Callithrix jacchus: one gene and its partners. Each later gene encodes a partner of the first gene's protein in a complex. Links are inferred from orthologs where the notes say so. Each region holds a gene or a part of one and is shown in the gene's direction. Other genes may lie near its edges. The genes, in order: HDAC3, TBL1XR1, TBL1X, GPS2, CORO2A and NKAP.

Region 1 (3,500 bases):
CAGCATCCGAGGACATGGGTGAGACTCGCTCTCCTTCTCCCCAAGGTTTTTAAGTGGTCTTGGACTTAGTACATGGGTGGGGATAGTTGGGGAATGGGCCTTACCTCTACTAGGAAATCAAAACTAGCTTCAAATTGTACTTGAACTAGAAATGTCATCTTGTACAGGGTTCCCTCAATGGTTATTCATTCACAATATATTTTTATTAAACACCTATTATGTTCCAAGCATCATACCACATCATGGGGATGGAATGAGGAGGCTCCCATGAAGTTTACAGTTTAGGAAACAGAAAAAAATAAATAATCAAATGAAATAGATTGTTATAAATTCTATGAAAGACAGAAAGAAAGCTGAGACACAGGATACAATGGGGGACCTACTTTATATAGTATGATTTGGAAAACATTTTCTAAGGAAGTAAAATCTGAGCTGACACCTGGTGACCAAGAAGGAGTCTTAAGGAGACATAAGGGGAGCAGAGAGAAGCCTGTCCCAAGCATTGACAAAGGCCCACAGAAGGCTCTGAGGGGTGGGCCCAGTGCATACACCTGTAATCCTAACACTTTTAGAGGCCAAGATGGGAGAATCGCCTGAGGCTAGGAGTTTGAGGCCAGCCTGGGCAACACAGAGAGAGCCATCTCCACAGAAAAAAAACAAAATTAGTCGGGCATGATGGTCATGCCTATAGTCCTAGCTGCTTAGGAAGCTGAGGCAGGAGGATCACTTAAGCCCAGGAGTTTGAGGTTACAGTGAGCCATGATTATGCCATTGGACTTCAGTCTGGGCAACAGAGTGAGATACTGTTTCTTTAAAAAAAAAAAAAAAAAGGCTCTGGCAGGAATGAGCTGATTCAGTAGAACACGGCGAGCAAGCTGGAGGTAGTTTGAGTTGAGGTCCGAGAAGCTGACCATAGTGAGACTGTGTAGAACCTTGAGATCCTGATAAGGAGTTTGAATTATATTCCAAAGATATTGGGAAACCACTGTAGTATTTTTAAGCAGAAAAGTGACATGATCCGATTTGTGTTTGAAAGTGATTATTCTGACTGCTGAATAAAGAAAGCTTTGGGTAGAGGAAATGGGGATGAAAGTGGGAAGACCAGTTAGGAAGCCATGGTGTTTGGTTAGGTACCCAGACCAAGGTGGAGGAGGTGGCAATGGAGAGACCAAAATATATATATATGTATATATATATATATTTTTTTTGAGATGGAGTCTTGGTCTGTCATCCAGGCTGGAGTACAGTGGCATGATCTCAGCTCACTGTAAGATCTGCCTCCTGGGTTCAAGCGATTCTCCTGCCTCAGCCTCCTGAGTAGCTGGGACTACAGGCACGCACCACCATGCCTGGCTAATTTATTTTGTGTTTTTAGTAGAGACAGAGTTTTGCTGTGTTGCCCAGGCTGGTCTTCAACTCCTGAGCTCAGGCAGTCCACCTGCCTCAGCCGCCCAAAGTGCTAGGATTACAGGTGTGAGCCACTGCACCCAGCGTGAGTTACATTTTGAAGGCTTAGAATCAACAGAACTTGCATTGATGAGAGTAGTTGATTAATAGGCAGGTGTCAGGGAGGGTGTTGGGCAGAACAGAGATGGGACTATGCTTTATTTTAAATTTTTTATTGAGACACAGAATATAAAGTATACATAAATCTTAAGGGTTGAACATAATGAATTTCACTATCCAGATAAAGATTTAGAATATTTATAGTTCCCTTGTGCTCCTTTCAGGCAACACCTAAACGTATATACTTTGTTTTTTGATAACCAACCTCCTCCACTCCTTCCTCTGGTTCCTTTTTATAGGGAATGCGTTGAATATGTCAAGAGCTTCAATATCCCTCTACTGGTGCTGGGTGGTGGTGGTTATACTGTCCGAAATGTTGCCCGCTGCTGGTGAGCGCCCTCCTGATTTCTTCCCCCGTTGTACACTGTGAGCTAGGGGGTCCCTCAGATATGGCCACATGGGCTCTTCAGCCCACTTGGTCAGTCTGCTTTCCTCTGCTGGTTGGTTTCAGGACATATGAGACATCGCTGCTGGTAGAAGAGGCCATTAGTGAGGAGCTTCCCTATAGTGGTAAGGACCACCCACAACACCCCCACAACAAGGAGGCCATTCTCACTAGATTTTAGAATGACTTGGTTTGAAGGCAGATGGAAAATTTTACACTCTTAGAGCTCTGCAAACTAAACCCCTGGCTCAGAGCAAGGAAAAGACTGGGCAACTATTATATAGGGGCTCTGGATGGGAAGGAAAAAGACTGGGAAGTCTTGGTAGCTGCCTTTCTTAGTCTGAGCCATACTTTCTCCTCTCCTCCCTAAGAATACTTCGAGTACTTTGCCCCAGACTTCACGCTTCATCCAGATGTCAGCACCCGCATCGAAAATCAGAACTCACGCCAGGTCAGCAGCTCAGAAAAGCTGAGCACAAACTTTTCCTGAAAGGCGGAGCCCAGGAGAGGTCAAAGATGTGGGAAGTAGAAAAAAACCAAAGAGAAGGAAGTTCTAAGTCATCACTGTCACTGTTATTGGCTAGGAGGCAGTAGGTTAAAGCAGAAGCAGTTGGGGTTGGTGGGGAGGGACAGCTATCAGTTGGGGGACCTAAACTTAAATTACCACTGAGATGAAAACCAGGATGGTAGGGGTCAAAGGCAGCTGGGAGAGTGCATGCCCTGGGAATCACTGGGAACTGCTCACTCTCTATTCCTCATCTCCAACCAGTATCTGGACCAGATCCGCCAGACAATCTTTGAAAACCTGAAGATGCTGAACCATGCACCTAGTGTTCAGATTCATGATGTGCCTGCAGACCTGCTGACGTATGACAGGACTGATGAGGCTGATGCAGAGGAGAGGGGTCCTGAGGAGAACTATAGCAGGTCTGGGAGCAGGGACTTCAGGGGCTTCCGGTAGGCTTGTTGGGGAGGCTTAAAAGAGAAAAAAGTAAATGGGAAGGTATAACTTTATTGCCCCTGGCTTACCTCCATGTCTACTACAATTTCCTCACTCTTTTCTTTGCTATTTTTAATGACAAAAGTAACACATATTTATTGTAAAATTTTAAAACAGCACCAGAATATGTTGTTTGCTTTCATACAATCCTAGACCCATTCCACAGGAGTAACCACTGTTAATAGTTTCTACTTTTTTGGATACGCCTTTTTCTATAGATGCACATATGTGTATGTACATATAAACAAACACATACTCATTTACATTTTGTGTGGTTTTTTGCTTTTTTGTGAATACAAATAGGGTCATTCTATATATATATGCTGTTTTACATCATAAAGCTGGTTCCATGTTAGCTAATATAGCTCTGCTTCAGTATTTTATCAGCTGTATGATAATCTATCATGTGGATATAGCGTAAAATTTAACCAATTACCATTGATAGACATTTACATTATTTTCCATTTTTTTGGTATTACAATAATAATGTGTCAATGAATCCCTTTACATATACATCCTTGCATGCTTGTTTCAGTGGGTTAGATAGTA
Region 2 (3,500 bases), on another chromosome or scaffold:
AAAGAACGTTCTTTTGTTTTTTTAACCCCCAAGTTGGCTGTAGATTGAATGTCTGTAGGTTGACGATAGATTTTTTATACCTAATATTTTGTTGGTGCTACTTTTTCTCTCCTTGTTAACCATAGATACTCAAAGCCTACTATACTTGAACTTAATCTCATAAATTATGAGACATTTTAAGTTGGGAGAAATTTTAAATAAACAAAACAGTTGAGCCTTCCCAGCCTGATAATCAGTAGCAATGCATCCGTGATTTGTGCCACGTTACCAGGCTAAATTTGAAGAGGAAAGCTAGGTCAACGTTCTTCCAGCCTAGTGGTCAACTTGGATAGGCTGAATGGGAGGTATTTTCAAGGTATATGGTTTGCCGCCCTGTTGTTTTTAAATAGATCTACCTCTAGCTTGACTTAAGGTTACCATAAAGCTACAGGGGTCACTTTTCTGATTTGCCAGGGCAGAACACCAGAAGCACATTTTTCAGTTTTCACAACAGGACCTCTGATCTTTTGTCCTGTGAACTGACTGGTTTCGTAGGATAATACATTTTTGGACTGAGTTTTAATTCTTCAGTGACAGCTGAACAGTGAAATTGTTAGTATTCCTGGCCGTGTTTTTTGTTTACACTTATAACACCTTTCAAGAATAGTGTACGTATCTATCTGGGCACTGTGGCGCATGCTTATAATCCCAACATTTTGGGAAGCCAGAGTGAGTGGATTGCTTGAGGCCAAGAGTTCAAGACCAGCCTGAGCAACATGGTGAGGGCTTGTCTCTACAAATAATTTTTTAAAATTAGCTAGGCATGGTGGCATGCACCTGTAATCCTAGCTACTCAGGAGGCAGAGGCAGGGAAGGATCACTCTAGGCCAGGAGTTAGAAGATGCAGTGAGCTATGATTGCATAACCGCATCCAGCCTGGGTGACAGAACAAGACCCTGGCTCAAACACAGGGTACATACATTATTATGGATCTCCTAACTTAGGGCTGCTCAGTGAATATGGAGTGAATAGCAGACTTTTACTGGAATTAGCTTTACTAGTTAGTTAATTTCCTCTCTTAAGCTGTTTTGTCAAAGAAATTCTGAGTTAATTTTTTTCTCTACATGTTAGCTAGACCCATGCATCATTTAGCAACAGCAAAAACTTATTTCATGTGATGCACTGAATGTTTACTTCTAGCTATTGTTGGCTATGTCAGAGAGACCAGATACCTTGTTATCATCACTGGAGAAACTGAATGTGTGTGTGTGAGTAATCTTTTGAGAACAGGCTGGTGTTATCTTTTCATAAAAAAAAATAAGGAGTTTCAGAACTTATTTTTATATTTGAAGCTAAGTCTCTCCTCTCATTGCTAGAAATAAGGCTGTGTAATATTTTTATCTCAGTATTTGGATTTATAATATGTATATGACTTTTAAGATTTTGTTTTTCATTCTTTTAGACAGGTGCTCTAGTTCACAGCTATAGGGGAACAGGTGGAATTTTTGAAGTTTGCTGGAATGCAGCAGGAGACAAAGTTGGAGCCAGTGCATCAGATGGTTCAGTAAGTACAGTAAAGTGTTTCCAAAGAGGGGTTGGGCGTGTGTTCACAGTAGCATGCAGCTTATTGTTAGCGATATACGAAAGTGGGTTTTTGTTCTTTTTTCCAAATAAATTTTAAGGTATGATATGAGTTTTTTTTTTACCCTGAGGCTATAAATGTTTCATGTGCATTGCATTCAAATATTACAAACATAATTCACGCTTTCCTTACCAAAAGACTGCCTTATAATCTAGAAATGGACAGTTATTTTTAATCTGAGCCTTCATTTATGAAATTAGGTATACCAGAGTAGCACTCAGAGGATTATTGGAATTTTTAATGGGTATTTCTACTTTCTCCTCTTCACAGAAGAGTTTGTTGGCCCAGGGAAGGTGGGATTAGGGGCAGTTGGTTCCTCTGTTGAGGAATGTGTGATACTGAAAGGTTTTCAGGATGAGGTTGGCCAGCTCTTTACAGCAATGCAAATATGGCTTCCAAAGCTGTAGAAGCAATGGAAGGTGGGAAAGGGTAGCTGTTTACTGACGCTGTAGCTGAATATAATCTGTGATATCTTTCGTTAGAGTCCACTGGATAGGGAATGGTCTGTTTTGAGCATTTTCCCTCTCCTTTTTGATCAGCAGAGAGTAATTCCTAAAAATCCTAGCCCTGGTTTTCTCCCCATAGTTTGAGCTCATGGTTGTTCTCTTGATCTTCTTAAGTGATCTGATTTCTGTCAGTTTAGTGCCCATTTCCATGATTATTATGCTTTACCAGTTTTATAAACTTGGAACTAAGAAACATTTCAAATTGTACTATAGAAAAGTTAAACAAAAAATGTACAATGAAATTCTGAATACACTGGTTGACTATTTTAATTTCTTACAGGTTTGTGTATTAGACCTTCGGAAATAGCGCTACTAGTTGGAAGCCATGGACCGACTATGAATGTGTACATAGCCAAAATGACTGTCCCTGACCCATGTACTGCTATAGTCCCACTTGAACCATGGCCAGTCCACTACAGCCAAATCTAAAAGAAATATATACATACAGTGTATATAAACAAAATTGCACCCTGAAGATGACAGGTTTGTCACAGCTTGTGAATTTTGTTCACCAAGTGCTGGAATCTAATCTGCTGTGCCCCTAAAATAGCATTTAGAAGTTTTGGATATGAAAAACAGAAGAGAGAAAAATATACATTATAAAAGCAGAACATACATGTACCAGTTTTGGATACTAAATGACAGCCTTGTTTCTCCCCTTTGAATCAGCAGACACCATGGAGTATATTCTTTTTTCCCTTCAGTAGCGAGCAGTTTGTATGTACAGAGAAAATGGACTTACAGAAACTTGCAGCAGTAGTGTGTTCTTGCTTTAACATTTTGTTTTTGGTTTAGATTATGGATGCATGAAGTAAGGGAGTGAATCAGTTTCTTGTTTATATTTTTTTCACCTTTTGAACAACAAAAAAATTCTTTAAATATTTTAATGCATTCTTTTGAAGAGGTAGATGTTTGGTACACTTTATGGCTCCCAGAGCATATATTCAGTTGGTGCATGTTGTGGAAGGGGAATCGGAAATTAATGAAAACAAATGACTTTGGTCATGTCGATCTGGAAGACACATCAGTAAAAGGGTATTATGCTCTGTTGGTTCTGTTTTTTTTTTTTTGTTTTGTTTTGCTTTTCTTTTTCTTTTTTTTAATTTTTGTTTTCTTTGTTTTTTGGTGATGTGGCTTAAATGCAATAGTTTCTTTTTTGGGACATATTTCTGCCAATTAATGACTAGAAGGGCACAAAGTTTTTTTTTAATTACCATAGAGAAGATACATTAAAAAAAAAAAAATCTTCTGATGTTTTGTAGCCATAACTAAATTATGGTAAAAATGTGCACTATTGTGAAAAGGAGCAAAGTAGTTTTGGGTTTTTGTTGTTTGTTTGTTTTGCTTTGTTTTTTAAGAGATTAAAATGTTTC
Region 3 (3,500 bases), on another chromosome or scaffold:
GCTGTTGTTCAGAGCTGCCAGTGGTCTAGCTAAGTAGCCAGTTGGAAATGGAGTCCATGTCCACGCAGATAATTCAAGAATTTTGGTTTCTGTGCCTTTGGGTCTTGGAGGATAAAGTAAAAAGCGGAATTTCAAAGTCAGATGGTCTATGGTTCACAGTTTAGTTCAGCCTCTTATCACATAAACCGTGGGCGGGTTACCTGATGTCTCCAGTGTTTGTCCTCATATGTGAAACAAAAACAGTACCCACTCTGAACAGCCGCTACAGAGGCTGAGGTAGTGGACAGAGTGCCCAGGTTTGGTTGAAGGTGGTAATGTGGTCAGAATCGGCTCTGTTTCACAGAGCGTATGACTGCAGGTATCAGTTCTGTGGCCCAGTGCTGCTTGTGGGAATGAATGAGTGAGAGTAGATGAATAAAATATGCCAGGAGCATGAGACTCTCCTTCCACAATTGCTCCATCAGCCATGAGGTTTGCTTGTCAGGAACCCTCATCAGCACCTAATGCTGGTTTCTGGTGCATTCGATAGATGTTTCTAGATGCGGTTTCATGGTGGCTAAGAATAGTTTCTGGCTGCCGAGGCTTGGTTCTCAGCCCCACCCCTACAAACTGAGCAATCAGAACCTGTCAGTTACGCTCAAAAGATCTCAGAGACCTGATTCATCAAGGAAAAAGGACAGTGACAGAATGATGTTGAGAGACTTAAAGCCATTGAGTAGGAGCCAGGTGAGTGGCTCCTACCAGCCATGAGGGTCATGGTGTCTATGAGAGAGGAATCACCGTGGCCTGGAGTAGATAAGGAAGAGTCCATGCAATAGAGCGTTGGGCCAAGAATGCAGTGAGGTCCTGCTTTATTCATTGACTGAGGTTTTTCTATTCCACACTTCGCCAAAGATCTCAATGATAAAAGCTTGCAGGTAAAACTGTGTATAACATGGCGGAAAATAGAGTCATTGGTGAATCCAAGGGTGGGTTGCTTCATTTTGGTAGGAGTGGGTAGGGGAAAAGGAAGGTAGATAGAGAGAAAACAAGTTAGAAGGAAAAGATAAGGTTGTTGTAAAGAACCTTGGCTTATATCCTCCAAAAACACAGGGGTGGAGGAACCCTTGGGGATAGGGGAACCTGGAAAGGGCTCCTTTGCAACCTAATGTAGGCGGTTAGTTTCGTAAAGAAATATACAAGGCTCTGTGCAATGGATTGTAAAATTAATAGCAGCTACCCTAGTACTCTATTAGATAAATCTCAACCACACATTCAATATGTTCTTTACAACCTGGAGATGGGGACAGAATAGAGGGTGGATTGAAGAGGAGGGAGTAGACAGAGAAAAGTGAAATATCAGAAAGCAGCAAGGAGAGCAAAGCGCAGAGCTCCTCTCCTGGAGGAATGAACATTCCCATCTGGCGAGCATTTTGTTTATGCAAGGTCAGTTCGTATTTGGATAAGGAGAGACAGAAGGCCACTGATGTGGAAGCGGAGGGAAGCCGGCTGCCACTGCCCCCCTTTGGCTGAATGAAAGATGACGAAGAGGAACACACGCCCAGCGAGGCTGATAGTCCCATCTCCTGGGATAACCAGATCCTCAGCCTGCAGAGTGGCCTAACCAGGGAGGTACAGTGGCCACTTTCAGAACTCCCTGCTTCCTGCTCATTTGCCTCATCCGTGGAGGATGTAAACAATGTGAGAGTTGAAAGACACACTATGGGAATGCCTTGGTGTCTGTCCCACCTGTTGCCAGGGAGACAAGCATGGGGGTCCATGTTCCTCCAACTCTCAAGGATTTCAAGCTCCTATACACCCCCAGTCCGCCTCTGCACCAAGCAAAGTGACCCAGCCCTGCCAGGCGGGGTTTCCTGTTTTAGGAAACTCCCTGCAGCAGCCTAGACTTGCTGGCAGTAGGATGCCGCCTCCCTCCCTCTCCTTGAGGAAGGGCTGTTGCAGCTTCCCCATCACCCGGCCGACCTCCACATACATGCCCAGTGTCGTTGCCTTCTTTCCTTGAAGCAGGCATCATCCACAAGAGCAAGGCATGGCTTTCTGTGTATTCAGTCCTGATCCCCTTCCCAACAGCTTCATTCAAGAGCCTTCATCCAAAGCTGATCTGAAAACACCTTTAAATTGCCAGGCATCATTGATCAGCAGCTTCCTACAGCAGGAGTGAAGGAGATGCAGTCGGGGAGGAAAGGAAAAGAGCCAACATCTATTAGCCAGGAGAAAATTCCCAGTGTTTGGAGAAAATGACAGTACCACACCAGTCAGTCGAGATTGGCCTCTTCTCCGTCTTCAGATGTTGGGTTGTGATGCACTTGCCCCACGTGCTAGGAGCACTCAGGGTCAGCGTTTGCTGTTCCCTCATCTTGGGCTGAAGAAAGGTGCCCTGTATGCTTGCAGGGGGTGACACGGAGAGTCTTCGGCATGAGCTTCTGTAGAGTCATATGAACCGCAGAGTTGCGGGGAGCCTGGAGCCAAATTTCAGTAACAGATATGTCCAACCGGGGCACGCAGGGCAAACTCTATTGTCTGTTCTGTTTTATTATTAATAACACTGAAATGGGTCTACCATTAAAGGCCCTTGTTTCATCACATACCAACCTGGTCTTCCTGGGTCTGAAATCCCTCCTTCTTCCTCTGCCCTTTCCTACCTTATTGAACCCAAATCAGAAGCATCTCTGGGCATTCTACAGCCGTGTCTGCCCCCATAAACTAAGTGTGTTTGAAATCCGCAGGCCACCCTCAGATCTCAATGGCTGCACCTCCCTCGGTCAGTTTGGGTCTCATTCAACCTCGGCTTTCCCCTCTTGCTGCAGGTTTTTCCCACTCGGCTTTCACATTCGGGATCGAGAGCCACATCAGCCAGTCCAACATCAATGGGACACTAGTGCCGCCGGCTGCCCTCATCTCCATTCTCCAGAAGGGCCTGCAGTATGTAGAGGCCGAGATCAGTATCAATGAGGTATGTAGCTGCCGGGCTCGGTCCCCAAACAGTAGAGCCCTGGGAAGCTGCAAAAGCTTGAAACACATTGGAAACTAACATGCATATCCCTCAGGCATTTGGGATTAATTCAGTGGCAGGGTACAGTGGCTTAGGCCTATAATACCAGGACTTTGGGAGGCTGAGGCAGGAGGTCCACTTGGGCCCAGGAGTTTGAGACCAGCCTGGACAACATGGTGAAACAGCATTTCTACAAAAAGTTTAAAATTAGCTCAGTGTGGTGGTACACACCTGTAGCCCCAGCTCTTGGAAGGCTGAGCTGAGAGGATCAGATCACTCAAGCCCGAGAGGTTGAGGCTTCAGTGAGCTATAATTGTGCCACTACACTCCAGCCTGGGCTACACAGTGAGACTCTTACCTCTAAAATAAAATTTAAAAAAGAAGAAAGGAAGTTGGGTTTTTTTCCACTTTGTGTTAATACCTTATTGATCAGGGATGACACAGTAGCAAGCTTCCAGTGCCCCTCCCACATGGTTCTGTGTTTTTTAGTTAAATATAGAATCGTTGG
Region 4 (3,957 bases), on another chromosome or scaffold:
GCACTCCAGCCTGGAAGGTGGGAGACATTCGAGCAAAGGCTTGAAGAAGGAAGTAAAGGGTAGCTGAGCAGGCTTTGGGAGGAAGAGCATTTCAGGTAGAAAGAACAGCTAGAACGAAGTTCCCAAAAGGTGAGAGGATTTCCTAGGTAAAGCAAGGCTTGTGTGGTTGGAACAGACTTTGCAAGGGGAGAGGTGATGGGGTGAGAGGCTTCACTCCCCTATTTCTTCTTGTCTGACAGATTCCGGGACCCCAAATCCCAGCGGACGCACCAGGCTCAGGTGGCGTTCCAGGTGTGTGTGCGTCCTGGCTCCTACACCCCAGGACCCCCTTCCGCTGCCCTTGGAGAACCTTCTGACCCTCACTTCAGCCCAGCCGAACTTGAGTGGGTCACTAAGGAGAAGGGGGCCACACTCCTCTATGCTCTGCTGGTACGGGTGGAATGAGGGGTGAGACACCACTACTACAAGCACAGTCGGGCCTCAGGCCCATGGACTCCGAGTGGCGACTGCCTCCACCTCATTCCCGTGACTGTGGCATGCGCAGGTGCTGGGGCTCGGCGGCCGCTCAGGAGCATGTAGGCAGGCTCTCAGATGTAGGTGGGAAGCGGCACACTCCAGGTCCAGACGCCCAGCACTCCGTCTGAGGGGAGGAGCTGCGAGAGCCTAGCTCCAGGCCTTGGTACCCTTCTTCATGCACTGATTTGTGGAACATAACTCCCTATTACTCCCCTCCCCGACATCACTTAATTTATTTCAGTTTTTGTTACTGGTTACTGTGAATCCCAGAGGAGTCTCTACCTGTGCCCACATGAAGCTGCTTTTGCCGGGGCCACTGGGCGGGAGTGGGGAAGGGCGGGCGCACGGAAGACGGGGGCCTCTGTACAGTTGTTACTGACTCTGATTTCTAAGGAGCCAATAAACATCGTCTCAGAGCCTCCGCTTCAGCCTCTCTCTCACGCGCCCCTTTCCGGATCCTGCGTCCCCTGGGGTACTGCCAGGCGGGCCCGCGAAATTAAGAGAACTGAAGATGCCAAGGCAGTTGTGCGGCGACGGGGTTTGGACGCCGCGGGTACCCGTCGCATCGCGCTTCCGCCTTCTCCCACCCAATCAGTGAGATCGGCCGCCGCCGTGACTCCGGAAGGACTCGTCGGGCCACCGGATGTGACGTAGGGTCCAGGGCGCGCCGGAGCCGCGGAAAAAGCGCAGAGAAGGCTGGTAAGGAGGGTTGGCGTCCGGGCTGGCCAGGCAGGGAGCGGCAGCACCGAGCCGGGGACCCAGCGCCGCCCGCGCGCGTGCTGGAGCGGGGGCTGCGGGCTCGGCCGGGTGGCGGGCTCCCGGGACACGTGACCGGGGCGGCGAGCGGGTTTCCGCCTGAGCCGGGCGCGGGCCCCTCTGAGCGCCCGCCTCTCCGTAGGTCTCGTCTGAGGTCTGGCAGTGAGAGACAGAGCCGGGCGTCCACGGCAGCACCATGCCTGCACTTCTGGAGCGCCCCAAGCTTTCCAACGCCATGGCCAGGGCGCTGCACCGGCACATTATGATGGAACGGGAGCGCAAGAGGCAGGGTGAGCCGGGGCCATAGCGGAGGGCATACGGCCCAGAATGGCTCCTGTACCTCAGGGCTGGCCCCAACCCACCGGCCAACCTGCGCGCCCGCTGCCGAGCGCAGAGGAGGGAACGAACAGCTCTGTTGTGGTAGGATTTAAGCGTCCTAGTCCACTCTCCAGGACCCTTGAGCTGGGAAGGACCTTGGAGAGCACCTGATAAAGTCTCTCCATTCCATTCCCTATTGCAGCGTTGGGGAGCTTGTCCCCTCGAGGCAAAGAGCCCACAGGCGTGTTGGGATGACTGGGTTTTGCTGGTCTTCAATCTGTAACGTTGGAATTTTTACTACCCTGCCTCTTCCTCATTCTGCGTGATTCTCCAGAGGAAGAAGAGGTGGACAAGATGATGGAACAGAAGATGAAGGAAGAGCAAGAAAGAAGGAAGAAAAAGGAGATGGAAGAGAGAATGTCACTAGAGGAGACCAAGGAACAAGTAAGCAGTCCCTTGATCTCTCCAAGCTCTAAATTCTTCCCTTGACTCTCCCTGCCTTCATCTTCTCTCCCCACCCCATACCAGATTCTGAAGTTGCAGGAGAAGCTTTTGGCCCTACAGGAAGAAAAGCACCAGCTTTTCCTGCAGCTCAAGAAAGTTTTACATGAGGAAGAAAAACGGAGGCGAAAGGAACAAAGGTGGGATCAGAGTGATAAAAACCGAAATGGGGGCTAAGTGGAACTGGGATCAGATAGTAAGACAACCAGTGTTTTAACGACAAAAGAGAGAGTGTCTGTCCTTGACTTTGATCTGTTTTCCTTCCGCTCCAGTGACCTGACCACCCTGACATCAGCTGCATACCAGCAGAGCCTGACTGTTCACACAGGAACTCATCTCCTCAGCATGCAAGGTGAGGATTAAAAAAACTACCTGATAGAACCAGCCTTCTTTGAGGTTGCAGCCTACCATTTCAGCATCCTGCCGCCCTTCTCCCTTTCTAGGGAGCCCTGGAGGACACAATCGCCCAGGCACGCTTATGGCAGCTGACAGAGCCAAACAAATGTTTGGACCCCAAGTGCTTACGGTAAGAATAGGATTGGATGCCTAGTCCCAAATATCCTTGCCACCAGTATTCAAGTCACAGACATATCAAGCACTTAAATTTAGGGGGAAACAAGAGCATAAAGATATACACAAGTCACTGAGTTTCAGCTTTCATGGAGCTTGTAGGTGAGTTCTCATTCTCCCTCCTTAGACTCGGCACTATGTGGGCTCAGCAGCTGCTTTTGCGGGGACACCAGAGCATGGACAATTCCAAGGCAGTCCTGGTGGTGCCTATGGGACTGCTCAGCCCCCACCTCACTATGGGCCCACACAGCCAGCTTATAGTCCTAGTCAGCAGCTCAGAGGTGAGTCGTCGGAGGGATGGGGGCTTGGCTTTCCTCAGGGTCAAAAGAGGAATGCTATTGAGTAAAGGGTTAATAGCCGTGTCTCTTTCTCAGCTCCTTCAGCGTTCCCTGCAGTGCAGTACCTATCTCAGCCACAACCACAGCCCTATGCGGTACACGGCCACTTTCAGCCCACTCAGACAGGTGATAACATCCCATGCAGGACCTCTAGCTCTCTGGGTCCTCCCCTCCCTGTCTCATTGTTTCACATGCCCCTGCTCCCCACCTAGGTTTCCTCCAGCCTGGTGGTGCCCTGTCCTTGCAAAAGCAGATGGAACATGCTAACCAGCAGACGGGCTTCTCTGACTCAGTGAGTATGGCGCTTGGGAGGTCAGGGTTAAGGATATGTTAAGAGGAGCTTCAGTATGCGTCAGGCCCTGACTCTGTTCTCTGCAGTCCTCTCTGCGCCCCATGCACCCCCAGGCTCTGCATCCAGCCCCTGGACTCCTTGCTTCCCCCCAGCTCCCTGTGCAGATCCAACCAGCAGGAAAGGTAAGAATGGTAATAACCTTACCTGTCAGAATCCCTATCCCAGAAAAGCAGAATTAGGTAGGACAGGTGGCCCACATCATCTGGTTTTACCTTCCTCTTTGGGGGTGGTTATCAGTAAGGGTATTAGTGGAAGGGAAAGTATGCCCAGTGACAAAGCCCTCTTTTCATCACCACCGCCAGTCGGGCTTTGCAGCTACCAGCCAACCTGGCCCTCGGCTCCCCTTCATCCAACACAGCCAGAACCCGCGATTCTACCACAAGTGACCATCAGATTATTATCTTCAACACCATACCCCCCATCCTACTGTGGGTGAGGGTACCCCCTGTGTGTCCCAGGCCAATAAAATCTACCTGCCACTGCCCCTGGCTGCTGCTGTTTGTGTTGCCTCCCACCCAACTGTCTGGAATAGGTCAAGGCTGCTTGAAGGGTTGGGTTAGGCTGGCAGGTCTACAGCAAGTCAAAGTGATACAGATAGTGGGTTTC
Region 5 (3,500 bases), on another chromosome or scaffold:
GGAGGCTGAGGCGGCAGGATCACTTGAGCCCAGGAGGTTGATGCTACAGTGAGCCATGATCATGCCACTCCACTGCAGCCTGGGCAACCCTGTCTCAAAAATAAATAACTGAAAGGGGTGTGGGGAGCACTGAGGGAACCTGGGCTCTCTTCTGATCTTCAGTGCTTTCTTAGCTGTTTGTGTTGGGTGTCTGAGAGCTGCTGACTGTTTGTGCTGGTTGTTCTGTTTTTTTTTTTGAGACAGAGTCTCGCTTCAGTTGTCCAGGCTGGAGGGCAGTGGCGCAATCCTGACTCGCTGCAGCCTCTGCCTCCCAGGTTCAAGTGATTCTCCTGCCTCAGCCTCTCAAGTAGCTGGGATTACAAGTGTGCACCATCAAGCCTGGCTATTTTTATATTTTTAGTAGAGATGAGGTTTCTCCATGTTGGTCAGGCTGGTCTCAAATTCCCAACCTCAGGTGATCTGCCCACCTCAGCCTCTCAAAGTGCTGGGATTACAGGCGTGAACCACTGCACCCAGCCTGTGCCAGTTGTTCTATACACAGCTCCAGGGGGCGCTAGTCCCATCCTAGGCTATAGGAATGGATTGATTGCCCTGGAGCTCTGCATGCACAGCCTGTGTGGATAAACATACAGCCTTGTTGATCTGTGTGAGGTGCAAACTGCTGCTAATAACCGAAACCGCCTGGACGAGCTGGTTCCCTGGGGTCCTCCCTGCATGGATGTTTTGTTGTTCAGAGGCAGGTGGTGTTTTCCCTTCATCACTAGGCAGCCTGGCCCTGGGATTCCTACTCCTGCCACAAGCAGCTTCAGCCTGCACATCATCCTCCCACCGAGGCTTCCTGGCCAGGCTGCCAGCTGTGCTGCCCTCCCGGGGATACCATGTTTCACTGCAACCTGGCCAGTGTGTGACTGGGGGAGTCAGGGGCGGGGTGGCCCCGGTGCTAAGAGCTGGCTCTCTGCCTTGCAGGTGATGATCTGGAACCTGGATACAAAGGAGTCTGTCATCACAAGCCCCGTGAGGACGATTACCTGTCACCAAGATGTGATCCTCTCCATGTCCTTCAACACCAACGGCAGCCTGCTGGCCACCACCTGCAAAGACCGCAAGATTCGGGTTATTGACCCCCGAGCAGGGACCATCCTCCAGGTCAGTGCTGGGCCAGGGGCTGGCTCGGGCTCAGAGGAGCAAGGGGTAGGGGTGCAGGGGGAGGCTTCAGAGAACAGGACAATGATGCTGTCAGCGTCGGGGCCACACCTTCACAGGCACCATCGCCGTCTGTCCTCTCGGGATTGCTGGGGGTGGGATATGTCATTTCCATTTTGCAGATGAGAAAACCAAGGCCTGTGAGAGATGAAATGACTCACCCACATGGAGAGCTGGGATCTGAACATGATCTGACTCCAAAGCTTGTTGGTGTGCCTCAGCTCTGTCACTGGCCAGCGGGGTCAGGAGAGCCGACGACACCACTGTTTAGTCCCTGTGCAACCTTAGGCAAGCATTCCTGCTCTTAGCCTCTGTTTTCACATCTGCAACAATGGGCTGTGGGTTTTTCCTCTCCAAGGATTAGATAAGATGGGCCAGGTGACAGCGCCTACCGAGGTAGGGGTGCCTGATACTCTTTCAGCAAGAACAGGGGGCTGGGCAGAGGTTTGCTTCTGTTCTTGCTCAGAAAAATAACTCTTAACAAAGATAGTGGGGAGAGACTCCATGTGGATGAGAGGGATCCAGGTGGTGCCCCTGGGAATAATCTCCAGGCAGAGTTGGGGTGAGAAAGGGCGGCCTTCTCACCAGGGGGAGCAGCAGCATAAGCAAAGCAGAGAGGCCGGAAACCCCAGCTGCTCCCCGGAATCCCCTCCAGCGTCTCTCCAACACCCACCGCACATGTCCCTCCAGGAGGCCAGCTACAAAGGGCACCGGGCCAGCAAGGTGCTGTTTCTGGGGAACCTGAAGAAGCTGATGTCCACGGGCACATCGCGATGGAACAACCGGCAGGTGGCCCTCTGGGACCAGGTGAGGCCTGCACCCCTCACTATCACCCCTCAGCTGAGAGCCAGCGTCATTCATTCACACATGCATTCATTCAGACACCCATTTATGTCTCACACATTTAGCATAGATTGCCAGGTGCTGGGGATCTGGGGAAGAATAGCAGGGAGATGCCAATTGCCCTGGGCACGCCCAGACCCTGTGCATCTTACACAGGAGGGAGGTAAGTCAGGACCCAGTGGAGGCCCTGGGCTAGACGAGATGAGGTAGCTGAGTCTGGGACCAGGACTAGGAGAAAGGGAGAAGGAGAGGGCCAGCTGGGCAGAGGGGGCAGCCGGAGCAAATGAGGTAGTAATGGGTATGGGGAGGAAGAGCTTTCATCAGGACAGCTGAGGGTAGAGCAGGGGTGAGGGCCATGCCTGCGGTAGTGTTTTGAGGGAGCATTTGACAGGAGTTTCAAAGACTGGGCAAATCACACTTTCTCTCTGCGTCTCCTTCTTCATCTATTAAAATAAAATTTTAAAAACAGGTAGGGGAAGAGTAGAATGAGATCGGATTTGTCAAAAGTGATTTGTTATGGCCAGGCATGGTGGTACATGCATGTAATCCCAGTACTTTGGGAAGCCAAAGTGAGAGGATTACTTGAGGCCAGGAGTTCGAGACCAGTCTGAACTACACAGCAAGACCCCCATCTCTGCAAAAAATCAGCTGGGTGCAGTGGTGTGTGTCTATAATCCCAGCTACTTGGGAGGCTGAGGCAAGAGGATTGCTTGAGCCCAAGAGTTTGAGGCTGCTGTAAGCTATGATTACACCACTGCACTCCAGCCTCGGTGACAGAGACAGACCTTGTCTCAAAAAAAAAAGTGATTTGTTAAGGGCAGGAAGCTGACAAGATAGGTGGTAGCAGCATTTTAGTGCCTTTAACATGTCATCTCCACCAGAGAGTAGCCCACACATTGGACCCCAAGAACCGGGGACATCTTCCCCCAGGACACACATAAAAATCACACTTTTTCTGACACACACACTCTTGCCCAGAGCGCCATGGCAGGAATCATCTCCGGGAGCACCACTGAGGGCCCCCAGGAGTGACCCAGGCCTTCCCTGCCTCCCCTTCCCCTGCAGGATGACCTCTCTGTGCCTCTGATGGAGGAGGACCTGGACGGCTCCTCGGGTGTGCTGTTTCCCTTCTATGATGCAGACACCAGCATGCTCTACCTGGTGGGAAAGGTCAGTTTGGCACCGGTCGGAGGTGGCCGCCTGGACACCTGAGATGGGCAGACAGCAGCCTGGGGCCATTGGGAGCACAGGGCAGGGATGGGCAGGCCTCGCTGGCCACTCTTCTGCCATGAGAAAGAACACCTCCCACACTCCTGGTTCCTTAGGAACACCTGGGGCCAGGGCTCTAGCTAGAAACCTTGACTTTGTCCCTTCCCAACTCCAGGCCCAGATGTGGGGGGACCTTTGGTGTTTCTCAGCAGGGGCACCTGCTGGCCTGGGGGCAGAACAGGTCT
Region 6 (3,500 bases), on another chromosome or scaffold:
TGCAGCAAATCAAAATCTCTTTAGACTGTAGTTTGTTAGGTTCTTGCTCTGAGGAGACAGAACAGTTGCTGCTTTACCATTTGTCTTTTACGTGCTTAGAATAAAATTGTGAAGTCTTTTTTCAACCTTCTTATATCCAGTTTCTTTAATCTTTCCTTATGGTTCTTGTTTCTCTACTTTTTCCCTGTGGTTTCTTCTGAAAATCTAAATCCTCCATGCTGCTTTGTTTAAATAGCACTCTGTAAACACTGAAGTATTATACAAATGATAAGTTATGTTATTGTTACAAAGGCAGTAGACCCTTGAACTCCATGTTTTCAAAAGTAGTTCAGTGCTTGCTTTGTGGTTGTTGTTGTTGTTTTGATTCCCAAGTTCTGCCTCAGGATCTCCAATGCTTGCTTTTAATGGTTCTTGGACAGTCAGTGCTGTTACTGAAAAATTTGGGGTTCGTGTTTTTACACGCCATGGTCCATGTCTCATCACTTTCCTAATTCTTATAACCATTTATTTAAATTCAGTTCTGATGAACATACACCAGTAGAGGATGAAGAGCCAAAGAAAAGCACTACTTCAGCTTCTACTTCAGAAGGTATTTAAAATTAAAAAAAAAAAAAGAAAGAGAAAAAAAACCCAGAGGGTATTTTTGAAATACAGAGCTATTTTTTTGAGGGATTTAAAAAAATCCGGGTTTTTTTGGGTTTTGTTTGTTTTTTGAGATGGAGTCTTGCTTTGTTGCCCAGGCTGCAGTGCAGTGGCGCAATCTTGGCTCACTGCAACCTCTGCCTCCCAGGTTCAAGCAATTCTCCTGCCTCAGCCTCCTGAGTAGCTGGGATTATAGGCTCAAGCCACGCCCAGATAATTTCTGAGTTTTTAGTAGAGATGAGTTTCACCATGTTGGTCAGGCTGATCTTGAACTCCTGACCTCGTGATCCACCTACCTCAGCCTCCCAAAGTGCTGGGATTACAGGTATGAGCCACTGTGCCCCGCCTAAAATACCAGTTTGTAAATAGTTGAACATTAGACTTTGCTTTTACTCAAATTGCCCATCATCTTTTTCTTTTGATGTTCAGAAATAATTTTTTAGAATATAATTTTTTATTTGTATTTTCTTAGAAGAAAGAAAGAAGAAGAAGAAGTCTAGCCATTCAAAAGAAAGGTTCAAGAAAAGGAGAAAGAAAAAATCATCAAAAAGAAAACACAAGAAGTATTCTGAAGATAGCGACAGTGACTCTGATTCTGAAACAGACTCCAGTGGTAAGAAAGCCAACAGCATTCTGCAAGCCTTGCTTCAAAACTAGTTTTACTTCTTAAAACTTATTTTAGAAGAAGGTTCCTGAAAATAATAGTAGCACTGAAGAGTTTTTGAATGCTTGCTAACCTTGTGCCAGGCATCCCGTTAAATGCTTTATATTCATTATTGCCATTTAATTCATACAATAGCTGTAAGGTACATCTTACAGATGAGGAAGTGGACACAGAGCAGGTTTTAAGTACTATCCCCAAGGTCACACAGTTGGGATTCAAACCTAAGCGATCTGACTCCAGATTGGATGTGCATAGTTGTAGAAGGCATGTGCCACCAGACCAAGTCAGGGGGCTGGGCTGTACCAAAGTAAGCCTTACAGGGCTGCATTAGCCCAGTGGAAGGGCTCTTTTATGTAATTCTCATGCCCAACGAGCACCTCTGTATACTTTTCAAAAAGGTATGCCATAAAGTGCCCCCTTCATGCCGGCTGCTGATTTGTGGAAGGCACCCTATCTGGGATAGTGCATCGCAAATAGTCTCCTTTTTGTACTGTCTCCTGGCTGATGATTGACCAGAAGGTGCCTCCTCAGGGGTTAGCATTACGCAAAGGTTCACCTTCCTCTGATATCAACCAGGTTTCCTGGCCATCCCTATCACTTCTCTTCCTCAGTTCTGGAAGACAGAACTTCCAAATATTTCTGTATGCATCCCTTAAGAGACATTTTTATACTTAACTACAACACTGTCTCACACAATGAAATTAGTAATAGTACCCTATATCACCGAATGCCTACTTAAAATCCTTCAATAGCAATCCATAGCCTTCAGGGTAAAGTTCAGACCCTGACTCACCTCTCTCTAATCACATATACCCTGTTACACTCTCTTGCACCATCCTCTGTAATCTTAAAACTACTTTCTGTCTGCTTAGTATTCCCCGTTTTTTCTCTTAATTGTTGCTTGACAGAGAGGCCCTCTGCCTGCAATGCCAGTCCCTCCCTCCACCCAGCTTCATTTACTCATTTCACCAGTGGGCATACTTCTGTACTTTTGTAATCAAAGAACTACTTTAAGAGTAACCTTTCCTGGTCAACCATTCCTCAACCTCCCTCCCCACATCAGTCTGATTTTAAGACTCCTCTGTGTGTCTAGGCTCCCCAAGCTGTCTATCACTCCAGTCTGTATTGATCTCTTTACCTATCTGTCTCCTCCATTAGCCTGAGCTCCTGGAAAGCATTCTCTCTCCCACCTCCAACACACACATAGTTTTCTTTTCCTTTTTATCATGAACATGTTTAAATATTGAGAAAAGTGAAGAGAATAGTATAATTAATACCATATGCTTATCACCTAGATTTGGTGGTTGCTAGTATTTTTACATATTTACTTCAAAATATGGGCTTTTTGCTGAGATATTCAAACTCAATTACAAATATCATCACACTTCCACCCTGTATGCATCTCCTAAAGAGAGGCATTTTCCTACTTAACCACAACACTATGTCACACAATAAAATTAATAATAATACCCTATATCACCAAATACCTAGTGACTTTAATTTCTATGTTTATACTACCTCTTACAGTTCCTGACAAATAGCAATAAATATTCCAATGAGGTAATTTCTTTGCAATAATAAATGGGACAGTAATAGATTAGTTACCTACTCAAAAGTACTACGGTTTTAGAGTTAAAATTTTTTTTTCTTAATTGTACTGTGCTTTAATTTGCAGATGAAAATAACAAAAGGAGAGCAAAGAAAGCCAAGAAAAAGGAAAAGAAGAGGAAACACAGATCGTCAGTTTTTTAAGTTTTATTATAGAAAATTTCTTTTTTTTTCTTTTGAGACAGAGTCTTACTCTGTTGCTCAGACTGGAGTGCAGTGGTGTGGTCTCGGCTCACAGCAACCTCCGCCTCCCTGGTTCAATCAATTCTCATATCTCAGCCTCCCAAGTAGCTGGGATTACAGGCACCCACCACCACGCCTAGCTAATTTTTGTGTTTACTTTAGTAGAGATGGAGTTTCACCACGTTGGCCAGGCTGGTTTGGAACTCCTGACCTCAAGGAATCCTCCCACCTTGGAGTCCCAAAGTGCTGGGATTACTGGCATGAGCCACTGCACCCAGCCAGAAAATTTCAAACGTATATAAAATTACGTAAAATAGTATAATGATCCCTCCTGTATCCATCATGCTGTCTAAATAATTATCAAATGATGGGCAATATCTACCATCCATCATTTATTTTTGAA

The links.
Region 2: HDAC3 (region 1) and TBL1XR1 share a complex: the UniProt entries of both Homo sapiens proteins name them as parts of the N-Cor repressor complex. The link is inferred for Callithrix jacchus from reciprocal best matches to the Homo sapiens genes HDAC3 and TBL1XR1.
Region 3: HDAC3 (region 1) and TBL1X share a complex: the UniProt entries of both Homo sapiens proteins name them as parts of the N-Cor repressor complex. The link is inferred for Callithrix jacchus from reciprocal best matches to the Homo sapiens genes HDAC3 and TBL1X.
Region 4: HDAC3 (region 1) and GPS2 share a complex: the UniProt entries of both Homo sapiens proteins name them as parts of the N-Cor repressor complex. The link is inferred for Callithrix jacchus from reciprocal best matches to the Homo sapiens genes HDAC3 and GPS2.
Region 5: HDAC3 (region 1) and CORO2A share a complex: the UniProt entries of both Homo sapiens proteins name them as parts of the N-Cor repressor complex. The link is inferred for Callithrix jacchus from reciprocal best matches to the Homo sapiens genes HDAC3 and CORO2A.
Region 6: HDAC3 (region 1) and NKAP share a complex: the UniProt entries of both Homo sapiens proteins name them as parts of the notch corepressor complex. The link is inferred for Callithrix jacchus from reciprocal best matches to the Homo sapiens genes HDAC3 and NKAP.

What each region holds. Positions count from the first base shown.
Region 1 is NC_133503.1:40,058,218-40,061,717, reverse strand, and holds part of HDAC3 (histone deacetylase 3), read left to right. Parts: coding exon 1-18; intron 19-1,805; coding exon 1,806-1,895; intron 1,896-2,017; coding exon 2,018-2,076; intron 2,077-2,322; coding exon 2,323-2,402; intron 2,403-2,720; coding exon 2,721-2,878; intron 2,879-3,500. UniProt on the Homo sapiens protein: Histone deacetylase that catalyzes the deacetylation of lysine residues on the N-terminal part of the core histones (H2A, H2B, H3 and H4), and some other non-histone substrates.
Region 2 is NC_133518.1:9,886,499-9,889,998, forward strand, and holds part of TBL1XR1 (F-box-like/WD repeat-containing protein TBL1XR1), read left to right. Parts: intron 1-1,441; coding exon 1,442-1,543; intron 1,544-2,407; coding exon 2,408-2,434; 3' UTR 2,435-3,500. UniProt on the Homo sapiens protein: F-box-like protein involved in the recruitment of the ubiquitin/19S proteasome complex to nuclear receptor-regulated transcription units. Plays an essential role in transcription activation mediated by nuclear receptors.
Region 3 is NC_133524.1:9,897,329-9,900,828, forward strand, and holds part of TBL1X (F-box-like/WD repeat-containing protein TBL1X), read left to right. Parts: intron 1-2,807; coding exon 2,808-2,953; intron 2,954-3,500. UniProt on the Homo sapiens protein: F-box-like protein involved in the recruitment of the ubiquitin/19S proteasome complex to nuclear receptor-regulated transcription units. Plays an essential role in transcription activation mediated by nuclear receptors.
Region 4 is NC_133506.1:73,797,811-73,801,767, reverse strand, and holds GPS2 (G protein pathway suppressor 2), read left to right. Parts: upstream 1-1,157; 5' UTR 1,158-1,215; intron 1,216-1,414; 5' UTR 1,415-1,468; coding exon 1,469-1,562; exon of another isoform or gene 1,563-1,692; intron 1,693-1,792; exon of another isoform or gene 1,793-1,924; coding exon 1,925-2,034; intron 2,035-2,118; coding exon 2,119-2,231; intron 2,232-2,363; coding exon 2,364-2,443; intron 2,444-2,534; coding exon 2,535-2,617; intron 2,618-2,788; coding exon 2,789-2,942; intron 2,943-3,035; coding exon 3,036-3,125; intron 3,126-3,211; coding exon 3,212-3,291; intron 3,292-3,355; coding exon 3,356-3,473; intron 3,474-3,653; coding exon 3,654-3,787; 3' UTR 3,788-3,833; downstream 3,834-3,957. Other genes in the region: NEURL4 (neuralized-like protein 4), read left to right, coding at 240-444. UniProt on the Homo sapiens protein: Key regulator of inflammation, lipid metabolism and mitochondrion homeostasis that acts by inhibiting the activity of the ubiquitin-conjugating enzyme UBE2N/Ubc13, thereby inhibiting 'Lys-63'-linked ubiquitination.
Region 5 is NC_133502.1:146,257,597-146,261,096, reverse strand, and holds part of CORO2A (coronin-2A), read left to right. Parts: intron 1-966; coding exon 967-1,146; intron 1,147-1,893; coding exon 1,894-2,010; intron 2,011-3,111; coding exon 3,112-3,216; intron 3,217-3,500.
Region 6 is NC_133524.1:115,910,925-115,914,424, reverse strand, and holds part of NKAP (NF-kappa-B-activating protein), read left to right. Parts: intron 1-518; coding exon 519-589; intron 590-1,114; coding exon 1,115-1,255; intron 1,256-2,981; coding exon 2,982-3,045; intron 3,046-3,500. UniProt on the Homo sapiens protein: Acts as a transcriptional repressor. Plays a role as a transcriptional corepressor of the Notch-mediated signaling required for T-cell development. Also involved in the TNF and IL-1 induced NF-kappa-B activation.